3 separate regions of the Mus musculus genome follow, and regions 1 and 3 are each reported to be linked to region 2. Evidence: microRNA targets listed by miRTarBase, many of them from high-throughput screens and not tested one by one. Region 2 holds a microRNA gene; each other region holds the end of a gene's coding sequence.
What was found. Region 2 holds the annotated microRNA mmu-miR-331-3p (GCCCCUGGGCCUAUCCUAGAA, at 2,773-2,793, shown strand). A microRNA usually pairs through its seed, bases 2 to 8, with sites in the 3' UTR of a target mRNA and lowers its output. Matches are read on the target gene's strand: a 7mer-m8 pairs with bases 2 to 8, a 7mer-A1 pairs with bases 2 to 7 and ends in A, and an 8mer does both.

Region 1: miRTarBase lists Tbc1d8b as a target of mmu-miR-331-3p. Seed matches in the 3' UTR shown: 7mer-A1 at 1,739-1,745.
Region 3: the mRNA of Aim2 is a reported target of mmu-miR-331-3p. Seed matches in the 3' UTR shown: 7mer-A1 at 1,282-1,288.

What each region holds. Positions count from the first base shown.
Region 1 is chrX:139,751,042-139,755,099 of GRCm38, reverse strand. Tbc1d8b (TBC1 domain family, member 8B) reads right to left here. Exons shown (of 21, transcript NM_001081499.2): 21 at 882-3,639. The coding sequence ends at 3,259. Among named protein-coding and RNA genes, the nearest start is that of Ripply1, 29 kb to the left of the region's middle.
Region 2 is chr10:93,962,508-93,966,575 of GRCm38, reverse strand. Mir331 (microRNA 331) reads left to right here and starts at 2,713; the gene lies at 2,713-2,808. It overlaps Vezt (vezatin, adherens junctions transmembrane protein), which reads left to right. Exons shown (of 12, transcript NM_172538.5): 12 at 1-4,068.
Region 3 is chr1:173,464,285-173,468,342 of GRCm38, forward strand. Aim2 (absent in melanoma 2) reads left to right here. Exons shown (of 9, transcript NM_001013779.2): 9 at 687-1,756. The coding sequence ends at 734. Among named protein-coding and RNA genes, the nearest start is that of Ifi206, 25 kb to the right of the region's middle.

The DNA of each region.
Region 1 (4,058 bases), not on the chromosome of region 2:
ATAGATGCTAAAGACACCTGTGGAATTGTGTGAGGCATTTAGCGACTGAGGGTGGCCACCTATAACAGGCTGTGGTTTCAGAGCTACATAGAAAGGACATAGAGACTTGGAAGTAGATTTCTTCCCCAGCGGAACCAAGTCTTTACCTGAGAACCAAGTCTAGATTATCCCTTGCTCACAGCCTCATAATCCTACCCAGAGGACCTAGCTAGGCTGAGTCCCTAGTGATGACACACTTAAATAGTTAGATGATAAATGTGCATTGTACTGATTTCTTATGCAGCACGAGAAGGGGGAAATGCTCACGTAGTTCTCAGTATCCATTCTGGTCTGGGGGGGGGGGGGTTGCTGGACTTCAGAAGGGAAAAGCACAATTCCCACCTTTCTTTAGCACTCTGATTCTGGACTATGATGATTCTTGGCTGGCAGGGTGAACACTGCACTTCTGACATCTGCTGCTGAAGATGACTGTGAAGATTTCTGGCTATTCCGCTGCAATTTAGTCATGAGTGCCTGGGTGCTGAGGGGCAAGGAACTTGGCATCCATTTGCAAGTGAATCATGTCTCTGGAGGTAGCGAGTGTTTTCACTCTGGCAGTTTCCTATCATACAAGAATTAGCAACTGTCCTGCTAGCCTGGGAGGGAGGTGGTCTTGGATGTTGTGTTTGAAAGTTCAACTAAGCTGCTCCTTCTAATAATGATACAAGCCACTTACTATCCAGGGATAAACAGTTTCCTGCCTAAACCAATTGAGAATGAATTCTGGTTTTCTTGCAGCTAGAGTCGAAACTGATGTAGCAAGGATGCATAGGCTCAAGTGATATTTCAGTTATGTGTCAGTAAAGTGCATAATAAAACATTTGGCCTTTTAGTAAACCTTTCATATTTAATATAATAGATTTTTAATACTTAGTTTTATAAAGACAAAGTCATGTTATAACATTTAAGGTAAAAGGCATAATGCACTGGTCCAGTTTGACACAACAAAATATTTTGAATATTGTGAACAACTCATTTGCTTAACAAAGCAGCAGCTATAAAACTAGAACATGTTTTGCTTCCTTCTCCTGCAGACTCGGAAAATACATTGTTGTCTTGCTTTCATTTATAATCTTCTTGAAATTCAAAAAATCTCTTTATTTATTTTTTATTGATCAAGACTAAAATACAATATTCAGTAATCTTTACCATTTTGACTTTAAAATAATATCAAAAACTAACAACATATTCTCTTAAGAAAGTATCTGTTGTAAATACAACTGACAAAATATTCAACAAAGTGTGTATAACAGTATCTTTGTATACAAGCGCGGACCATATGTTTTTCTAGAGCTATCATCGTATAATTTAACAATCATTGCATAATGGTAGATGTGTGATGGTTCTCACATAAACTATCAACTAGGATTGAAAATTGGGACATATTTTAGCTAATCATCTCTGAGTTGAGGCAGAAAGGCTTAGTTTTCAACTATCTCTTTTAAGTAGTCATGTCCTTGAAAAGACAGCATAATCAAATCTTAAAGATGCTACCAGCATTTGACCAAATTCAACTTAGGAATTTTCTTTCTTTTTTTTTTTCCTTTGAGTTTGTTTATATAGTGGATTACATTAAGGGATTTTTTAAATTTATTTTTTTTTAATTTTAATTAGGTATTTTCTTCATTTACATTTACAATGCTATCCCAAAAGTCCCCCATACCCTCCCCCCGCCACTCCCACTTTTTGGCCCTGGTGTTCCCCTGTACTGGGGCATATAAAGTTTGCACGACCAATGGGCCTCTCTTTCTACTGATGGCCGATTAGGCCATCTCCTGATACATAGGAATTTTCAAAGACACAATTTGAGAAGTGCTTAGCTTCACTGAAAATAGTATGTGGTATGGTAACACAGTTAGGTTTTAGTCACAGTACGTTCTTGTCAAAGACTGACCATGCCAATTCTTTCCCAGAAAGGGAGACTTGTTTGGTCACCATGAAGGAAGTCTATCCTTTCATTGTTTCCCTTCTAGCCAAGTCAGAGGCTCGAAATCCAAGTCTAGTGTGAAGACAGAAGCTCCACACACTGGTTCCTGCCCCATTTCCCAAGTCAACTGCTAAATAAGTCCCTCTTCAAAAGCGGCAGAAGACAGGTCAGGTCTGCATGGATTGCTTGTTTTTGTTTGTTTGTTGTTTTGTTCTTTTGAAAGTGCTATCAGCGTCCATATATATTTAAATGGACTGCCATAGAAAAAGCATAAAGTATGTAAAAATTGCACATCTAAGTCTAACCTTTTTAGGTAGATGCTGGCAATTCTATATAGTACCCTAGTAAGTATTACATGAAGTATACTTTACATGCTTGCCAGACTAATACAGCAATTCAGTCTTAGTGAAACTCTTCCACACTACCTACTATAAATTAAAATACAATGGGTAAAAATTCAAACTACAAAGCTGGGACACAAGCAATCAGAAGCTATTCTGAAACCAAAGCAATAAACAATGCCACTCTAGAGAATTTTTATTTGTGTCTCAGTCTAACTGAAAGAGCTATATAGTTAACTAAACTGTCTTCTAACCTTTCTTTTCAAAATGCTGGCTTTATTTGATTTAAGTCTAAATCTGGTGTTGTTTTTCTTTATATCAGCCCAGAATTTAGACTTCTTGATTTGTGTTTATCAGCAACAGAGTTAGTAGCGTTAAACACCGAGTGCTCAATCCCTCGAGAGCAGAGAATGCAGAAGTTGCATGTATTACTGTAAAACCATGTATTACTGTACTGAATAAAATTACGTTTTAGAAGTAAATCTTTTAGTTATATAACTTGGAAATCAGGGCCCTAAAAGGCAACTTCCTAGATAATTAAGGCTACAGTTCTAAAGCCCAGTTTTGTAAAGTTTTTATAAGACTGGGGTCATTTGAAAAACAAGGCTTACCAATTTGCCATAACAGCATTATAATAAATATCCTACCACCTTTCAAAAGACCAGCAATCTCATGGAAACAGCAGGACAAACTTGTGACTGACTCACTAAAGTGATATGGTGGCGCCCTCTGGTGGTCCCACTGAGCATGTGACCCTGATGCTGCTTATCTTGTGACAGGGGGAGAATTTTTTAAAAGTGCATTTAATACAAAGGAATGAACCATTGTGCTTCTGAGTATCTTTTTCTTCTGCCTTGGAGCACATCAGTAATGCAACATATCCCTGAGAAGTATTCCCAGGAATCAGGCTGATAGTGCAGGAATCTTGGCAAAGCTGATGATGGCAGAGATTTACATCTTGGTTCTAGACCTTAGCTGGGAGCTTTTCGCATTTTCTAGCTTGGCTTTTAAATCTAAGGGTCTCTCAAAAAACCTCACCAAGGCTGGTTCATTTAACAGGGAAGCAAGAATCTGCTCAAATGCAAACGACCACTGATGTTCTTCCCTGGGAGAGGGAAGATCTTTCTTCACACTGCTCTCTGCATTCCCTTCACTGGGTCCAGAATCACGAGCTGTACTGGCTGATGATGCCGGGCTATGGAGTTTCCTTCCAACTTCTTCCATCCTGAGCAGAAGGTTGGTTACAATAGCAATGGCTTGATATAGCGACTCTTCTTCAGGGTCCTCATGAAATAAATTATACAGGGTCTTTGAAAATTGAATAAATTGTGACTAGAAGACACAAGTTGGAAATAGAATATTTTAACATTAAACTTAGCAAATATAAGTGGAACTCAGAAGTGCATAGCATCCTGTATAAAATTTATAGTCTATAACCTTCATCATAGAACTGAATTCATGATACATCTTTGCTCAAGGAAATTAAGTATGAACCATGAAAGAACATGCCACTAAAGCCATCTCACACACTGCCTAATCAAAGAATGTCATATCCAAACTAATTTCTGACAGGTTTATTGGCTGAAATATACTGGATTTCCAGGATTATTTAGTGTTGGGTGACAATTTTGGTTATTCAAAATTCCATATTTTCCTCCATGTATATCTCATCAACCAATTTTAAGAAAAGGATTATGGACTTCATCTGATCTCAAAAAGCTACACTGGGCACTAAATGAAGGTGATTTAAT
Region 2 (4,068 bases):
GACTCATTTAGTAAGAACTGGCAGACTTGACAGGGGAATAAATGATTTGGACAGCCCAGTTCTCTAGCAATGTATGAAATACACCATAATCTTTGCTATATTACAACGGTTATCAAGGAGCTGGGGAGATGACTCACTGGGTAAAGTGTCCTCTAAACAAGTACGAGAATGAGAACCTTCACTCAGATCCCAGTGCCCATATAAAAGAGCTGGGCATATATATGGCATACATCTATAACCCCATGCCTGGGGTTAGAGTCAGAAAAATCCCCAGAAAGTCTCTGGCCAGCCACTCTGGCCTCATCAGTGAGAGTGGTCTAGGGAAACCCTAAACATCAACTCAACCTCTGACTTAGCCCATATACACACATGTACATACACATGAATATGTGTGTGCATACCCTCTTGTATACATGTACACAAAGACACAAATTCATCATCATAATCATCATAGCCATTGGTTTTTTGAGACAGGGCTGCTCTATATTGCCTACCCTGGAACTCATTATGTAGACAAGGCTGACCCTGAGATTTGCCTGTCTCTGCCTGCCAAGTGCTAGGATGAAAGACATGGACTACTACAGCCAGCTCAAAATGGTCATTATTAACACGGGTTGTTATCCTCTGGTACACTAAACGCCAAGAACTGTCCCTTTATTAAGTTCCATTTGACTTGACTGGGCTTCAGTCATCATGCGTTCAGTTTTGGTAGGGATTCCTCCGTTCCTGTTACTGCAGATTAAGTGTGCGTGAATTAGCGGCCCTTGTCCGCTCTCACGCATGCCTTCCGACCTGCTGTGAAGACTAGATGACTCTGCTAGTTAAGCTGTGTAAGGTAAGAGCAGGCAGATGCAGAGTGACAGGCATACTGCTGACGCTCACTGACTCTTCTGAAGGATTTCTTATGACGTGCTGGATTACAGTCTTTGACCCAGTGAAATTGCTGGGTTAAATGCCTACTTTCAATATGAAAGTATTGTTATACAAGATAATTTTCCCCAACATCTTGCCTTCTCTAAAGTTGGTTCTATACCTGTAACTCTTTTGCAGTGATTACTGTCATATATACTTTCCATTTGAATTGGAAACCACATGCTGTCCTGAATTTCTTTGGCTCTCTTATTTAAGATAAATGCGTCTTCATTTCCAAGACAAAGTAGATTAAGCCATGGAAAATAAGAAAACAATTATTGAAGATATCTGAGAAGTACTACAATTGTAGAACCTAGGCCACAAAGAATAACATGATTATGAAAGACCATCCACGCTGACAGCATCTTTGCTTTCTTTAATTCAGCTAAAGGAAGTGAAGTATACATTAAAAGTTTCCCATGATTCATCAGTGTTAACTCAGTGGCAGAAGATCCACTGTCATTCAGTAGTTGGCATGCCTAAATTAGCCTTCAGTGTATAAAATAAGCAAGATTACATTTTCCAATAATACTAGACTGTCTAGAAGTGGCTCTCCTAACATCTGCTTAGTTGTACCGTTTATGTGCTGTGCTTTGCTAACCATGGGACTCGCTGTCATCATATACAGAGTGAGTAGTGTGTCAGTCTATTTTATTCTCATGCTTCATGGAACTCACTCTCATTACATTCAGCGTGGATGCTGTATCAGACTTTCATAATCATGCTTCATGTGGCTGCTCTCCAGTTACCCATGTTATGGAAGGGAATTATGATATAATAATTGTAAGAAGAATGGTCCAAACCAGTTCCTTGTATTGACACCATTGTAGAAGAGACAGTGATGGCAGACATGATTGGTGCTTCTCTCTGAGTAAGCTGTTAGAGAAGCACAATTCTACCCAGTGCAATTGCTGTAAACCAAAAAGAAGGAGTTCATACCGGGGTTTACATAGGCAAGATTCAGCAGGAATTAGGAGGAATTAATTTCATACCTATCTTTAAATGTGTGATCAAATCTAGGTGTAGTGGCACATACCTTTAATCCCTGCACTCTGGAAACAGGCAGGCATATCTCTGATTTCAAGGCCAGCCTGGTCCACATAGTGAGTTCCTGACTGGCCAAGGTTTATATATATAGTGATGATTGTGTGATAGATTCTAATGCCCATGGTGTCTTTAAAATGCAGTCCATTAGAATCCACTTTAGTGTGTCAGCAGTGACATTAGTTTTATCCCTGTGTACTGAGATTCACTTAGCACATATGTTGCTCAAGTGGAAATGATGCTTAGGGTGTGTATACTTCTGATTATACAAGCTGAAAAATTGGACTACCTGTAGATAATGCTAAATAGATATTTTTTCTCACTTATTTCTTAAGAGTTTCTTAAAATAGATAGTATTATTTTAGGATTTATAACAGTTTTATAACATGTCCTAAAGACTGACTACATACAAATAAGTTTATTGTTGCAAATCTCTTCTAAAACTAAAGTATGTCCTTTGTAAGTTTGCTCTTTTACAATGACCTAAACAACTTCTTAGCCCGCTTTTCCTTCCAAGTTAAATGACTAAATTGACTCTGATTCTGAGTCCAAGTATGTTCTGCATTTTTCTGTACCTTCTGTTCAAGTCTGTGACTTAAAAGTGCTGAGGCACAGTACTGGTGTGTGACAATATATAGAAGGCTCCAAGAATGTCACTCCTATCCCTTAAAGGTTGGTGTGTGGCCCTGATCCAGCCCTGGAGGCCCACATGGGTGAGAAGCCCAGAAGCCCATGCAAGCTGAAAGCACTCCCAAGGAGTCTGGTTTTGTTTGGGTTTGTTCTAGGTATGGTCCCAGGGATCCCAGATCAAACCAGGCCCCTGGGCCTATCCTAGAACCAACCTAAACCCGTGCATCATTCCTGGAACACCCAGAGGATGAAGACCGAAGATAACTGAGGCTGACTACACATCCTGTACTCACCAAGATTCAGTTCTTATATATGTACCTATTGTTTAGCAAGCCCTGGCTGGTTAATCTGTCTGGAGTCAAAATAACAATATTTGGTAATAACAAAGTCTCCCGAGGCTGATACCCCAGTAGTTTCCTATGGTAGAAATTCTATGTGGTTGTTATTAATTCCCAGTGAGGAGAACTGGTCTTGTGATTTTTATCGTCAGATAAAACTGATTTAAATGTCTATTTTAAAAAGCAGCAATGTAGCCACAAAACCGTTCTCAAAACAGCCTTCTTCCAAACTGGACAAATTGTCTTTTCTTAACTACTTCCAGTGATGTCTAACCAGTCTCTGTCAGCTGTATGCTTTATTGGCACTTTCGGAACGGCAAGCATCTGTCTTCGTCTTCCCACTCTAATGCTGAGTGGCTCTAAGTTCTTGTTTCAGAAATTAGTATGTTTTCCCTGTCACTGGGTCTGCTGCGCAGCAGAGCTCCTTTTAAGGTTTCTGTGGCTCAGGACCATGAGTATGGTGAGGTAGTAGATGGTTAAGCCCGTGGATTTTGCAGCAGTATTGTGCAGAAGAAAATTTTAAGAACTTCAGTTTTCTTCCTGATCTAATAAATATATGTTATGACCTCATAATCTAGCTGGCATTACTAGAGTCAACTGTGTGTTTATTTGTTTTGATTTGGAAGACAAGAATTCTGAAAATGCATGAAGACCCAAACTGAAAAATTATGGTAAGCATTGACAATTTATGCTTTTGATGTTTTGTGCAGACTAATAAACTCTCCATACATAAGGAACTCAAAATCATGCATTCCTACCAATCTTTATCACACTACCAAAATTTACGTCACCCAGTCACAGTTCCAAATGGGCCTGGCGCCTATTGAGGCTCACCCGAAAAACTCAACTATTCTACACCATATTCATCCCATTTCTACCCCAAGTTTATGGGAATTTTTTTTATGCCACAGATTGAGTTTTGTGCTTCTCAGTGTTTTCTTCCTTGGAGTGTGTGCCTCATGAACACACTTACCTAAGAGATCAGCATTGCCTAGAATCCATGTGCACACACCAGGTTGATGTGTAATATGTTTTGTGAGTATTTTGGGGGCATTATACTCATTTACATCATAAATAGAGACCAAAAATAGAAATTATGGACTGTTTAATTAGGTTTGTTTTTTTGAGTCAGGACCTCATACCC
Region 3 (4,058 bases), not on the chromosome of region 2:
ACACACACAAACACATACACACATGCACACACAAAATCTCACTCTCCTTCTTTTCTTCTTCTTCTTCTTCTTCTTCTTCTTCTTCTTCTTCTTCTTCTTCTTCTTCTTCTTCTTCTTCTTCTTCTTCTTCTTCTTCTTCTTCTTCTTCTTCTTCTTCTTCCTTCTCCTCCTCCTCCTCCTCTCAAAGAACTTTCCACAATGAATTTATTGAATACAGTCTAAATCTAATGAAGGCAGCTTTCTCAAAGTTGCACACATCATTCTGGCAAATGCAGTTAAAAGTCAAGTCAGACTATAACACCCTGACAACAAACATCTGAGCCAGGGCAATCATCTTCACATCTGTCATAGTCCAAAGCAGTTAAGTCAGCTATCACATCCCCGTGCTGATGATCCCACTGATTCTGCTTTCCTCTCTTCCTCACCACTCAACTGTATATATAGAGTTATTAGATGGGGACCTGAGAAGTCTTCATATTTGTCCTTCTTGTGTAGGAGTGTGTGTGTGTTCAGGGCAGATATAGTTCAGGAGAGTTGTCCAAGAGTGACAGAATTAAGAGGAAATATGTGTTAGGTGAGGAGATTTGATGAGAAGAAAGGAATTTTCAGGAGAACACAGTAAGTGAAAGTAGAGGAGAATTAATTAATCAACAATATTTCAGTCTTCATCTTCCTTTCCTACCCAGGTTATTAAGGCTGCAAAGCCAAAAACTGACATGAAAAGTGTGGAGTGAAGTCACCTCATTTGAAAAACCTTTTCCTGAAGAATCCTGATGCTGCTCCTTGAACTAGACTGAACTACCTGAGGATAGCATTTTACAACCTCATCATCATATTGTATTACTTAGAAAAGGACAAATACTCAAAAAACATCTGAAAAATATATGTAAACTTATTATTAATTAAGTTATTAAGACTGCCCAACCTGGGGATCCATCCTATATACAACCACCAAACCCAGACACTATTGCATATGCCAGCAAGATTTTGCTGACAGGATCCTGATATAGCTCTCTCTTGTGAGGCTCTGCCAGTGACTGACAAGTACAGAAGCAGATGCTCACAGTCATCTATTGGATGGAACACAGGGCCCCTAATAAAGGAGCTAGAGAAAGTACCCAAGCAGCAAGTGGTCTGCAACGCTATAGGAGGAACAACAACATGAACTAACCAGTACCCCCCAGAACTGTGTCTCCAGTTGCATATGTAGCAGAAGATGGCCTGGCCGGTCATCAATGGGAGGAGAGGCCCTTGGTCTTGCAAAGATCATATGCCCCAGTACAGGGGAATGCCAGGGCCAGGCAGCAGGAGTGGATGTGGGTGGGTTGGGGAGTGTGTGTGGGGGGTGTTATAGGGGACTTTCGGGATAGCATTTGAAATGTAAATGAAGAAAATATCTAATAAAATTGTTGCTTTGTCTAAGGTTTGAGATATCATTCTTCTCTACATAGACACTGAGGGTATAAGTATGGCGGGATTGCAGATGTGACAGCAGGGCCTTGTCGGAGAGACGCCTGTGGGTGATAGAGAAGATTGGTGATATATAATTTTTTAATTTAAAAATTTTAAATTTCCTTTTGGGGAGGAGGTTACAGGTGGAGGAGGGTGGGTATGATAGTACTAAGAAATCAGTGATATTGGGGTATGTGATGTGAAATTCCCTAGCACTCAATAAAAGAATTATGTTTTTAAAAAGAAAGATTGTTGATAAATAAATAAATATGATTTTACTCATGATTCAGAAAGTTAGAAAAAAGTTTGTGACTGTTCTATTTTTATTACTTATTCCATTTTTGATATCATAATACAATGATACTATTTCCCTCTTTCCTTTCTTCCCCCTAAATCCTCCCATGTACCATTCCTTGCTTTCTTTCAAATACATGGCCTTCTTTTTCATGAATTGTTGCTATAAGCATATATGCATATCTACATATATATATAAATACAACCTGCTCAATCTGTACAATGTTGCTTGTATGTATATTTTCAGGGATGACCATTTGCTATTGAATGATTAATTGCTGTGCTTTTTCCCAGAATAGACTGTTCTTCCAATAAATAATGTTAGGTAATTGCAAAAATCACATTTTTTTTTAGATTCCACCCAGAGAGCTGAGGTTGTAGTACAAGCACATGAGAAAAACCTAAGGAAAGACAAACATCTTCAGAGAGTGAGGAGAAGGAAATATTTCTACCTGGGGCAGGTAGTGCATACTAGACAACTCACAAATTATAATTAAGTTAAAATGTTAGCAAATTAACCAAGATTGAGTTTAGTGGCATGAGAATGGAGATCTTCTGAGAACCTCCACCATAAGGAGAGCTTATGCTCATTTTCAGGTACTTTCCTGGGTGGGCATGAGAAAGTCTGGGCACATGCCTGGGAAAGATGAGCCGCTGAGGGAAAGGCATGAAGGTCTCCCTTGAGGTCCTCATATATGATAAAATTTCTCTAGTGTTGCAGGATATTTAATTACACAGTGAACCTCCAGATTGTGTTGTTTACAAGAAAAAGCTAGGCACAATTGAAGAAAGAATGAGCCAGAGGATGAGAAAGAGCTAGAAGGTTAGAACACATTGCCAAAGTTAGTTTGAAGCCATCAGAGAAATTAAGAAGCTAAGGGAAGCCATATTGAATCAGGCTGGAGAGGAATTTTGAGTTTGGAAGCTAGAAGCTTCCAGGACTAGACCTAGGTTAGTAGACAGAGGCAGTAAGTCTCCAAGATGACTATTACCTCTTGTGAATAAAAGTTACTCTTACACTCTAGGGGAAGAGAAGCAACTCTTACTCTTCATGGCAAAGAGACCTGTTATGGTTTGTATATGCACAGCCCAGGGAGTGGCACTATTAGAAGGTGTGGCCTTCTTGAATTAGGTGTGGCCTCCTTGGAGTAGGTATTTTTAAGACCCTCATCCTAGATGCCTAGAAGCCAGTATTCTGCTAGCAACCTTCAGATGAAGATGTATAACTCTCAACTCCTCCTGCACCATGCCTGCCTGGATGCTGCCAAGCTCTCATCTTGATGATAATGGACTGAACCTCTGAACCTGTAAGCCAGCCCCAATTAAATGTTGTCCTTGTAAGACTTGCATTGGACATGGTGTTTGTTCACACCAGTAAAACCCTAACTAAGACAGGAAGCTTTGAAACAAGGGGAAGGAAAAATTGTTCTGCTTCTGGAGCAAAAGAAGGAATAGGTTCTAGGTATGGAATACTAAATCTTCCAACATGTGGAATTGTGTAGAATTAAGGATGAAACTCCTTCATACTTAGAAACACACATGACTCAGTGTTTGCCAAAGACAATAGATCAATAGAACTGTTGTCAGCTGAACAGATCAATAGAATATCCTCTAGTCACTCTACAATTTTTTTTCTTTTTATGACTCTGCTGAACAACCATCAGCTAACAGCTAACTGCAGACAGCTTCTAGGAGACAGTCATGTAAGTGCCTGTGCTTATTTTCCAGGTCCAGGTCACCTGATATGGTTGCAAGGAATTAAGTCAGGCCAGGTTGGAGGGACCACAGCCCAATGTCACAGGTGTGTCAATTTCATTGAGAACAATCATACTTTTTATATCTTTATCAAAAGCAGAATATGGTGAAAATTTCCAGGATCAGTATAGTTGTAGTTTCCCGGATACAAAGATCTTTGCAAGCTAATTACCTTCAATATCTGTGTCATATAAGTGTTTACCTGGAATACCTTCCAGTAACTCTAGACACATAAAAGTGAAATCCAGGGTTTGCATTTGGAGAATTCCTGAGGAATCATGGGTTGTGAATAAATGAATGGACTAAGATGACCCACATCCCATGGCTAAATGTTCCAGCAGATTAGGGACTTCTTGAAACCACCAGAGAACCCTCATTTGGTAAAATAATCATTCACACCCTGTCCAGGGATGATCTTTGAAAAGGCATCCCCTGACCCCCTTTTTTTCTCAGCCAATGAAACCTCCCTGAACTATATATCTTGATAACTGCAATGGATACTGGACTCCATATCTTACCTTCCTTAACTGGATTGGAACACAGTCTGGCCCATCAAG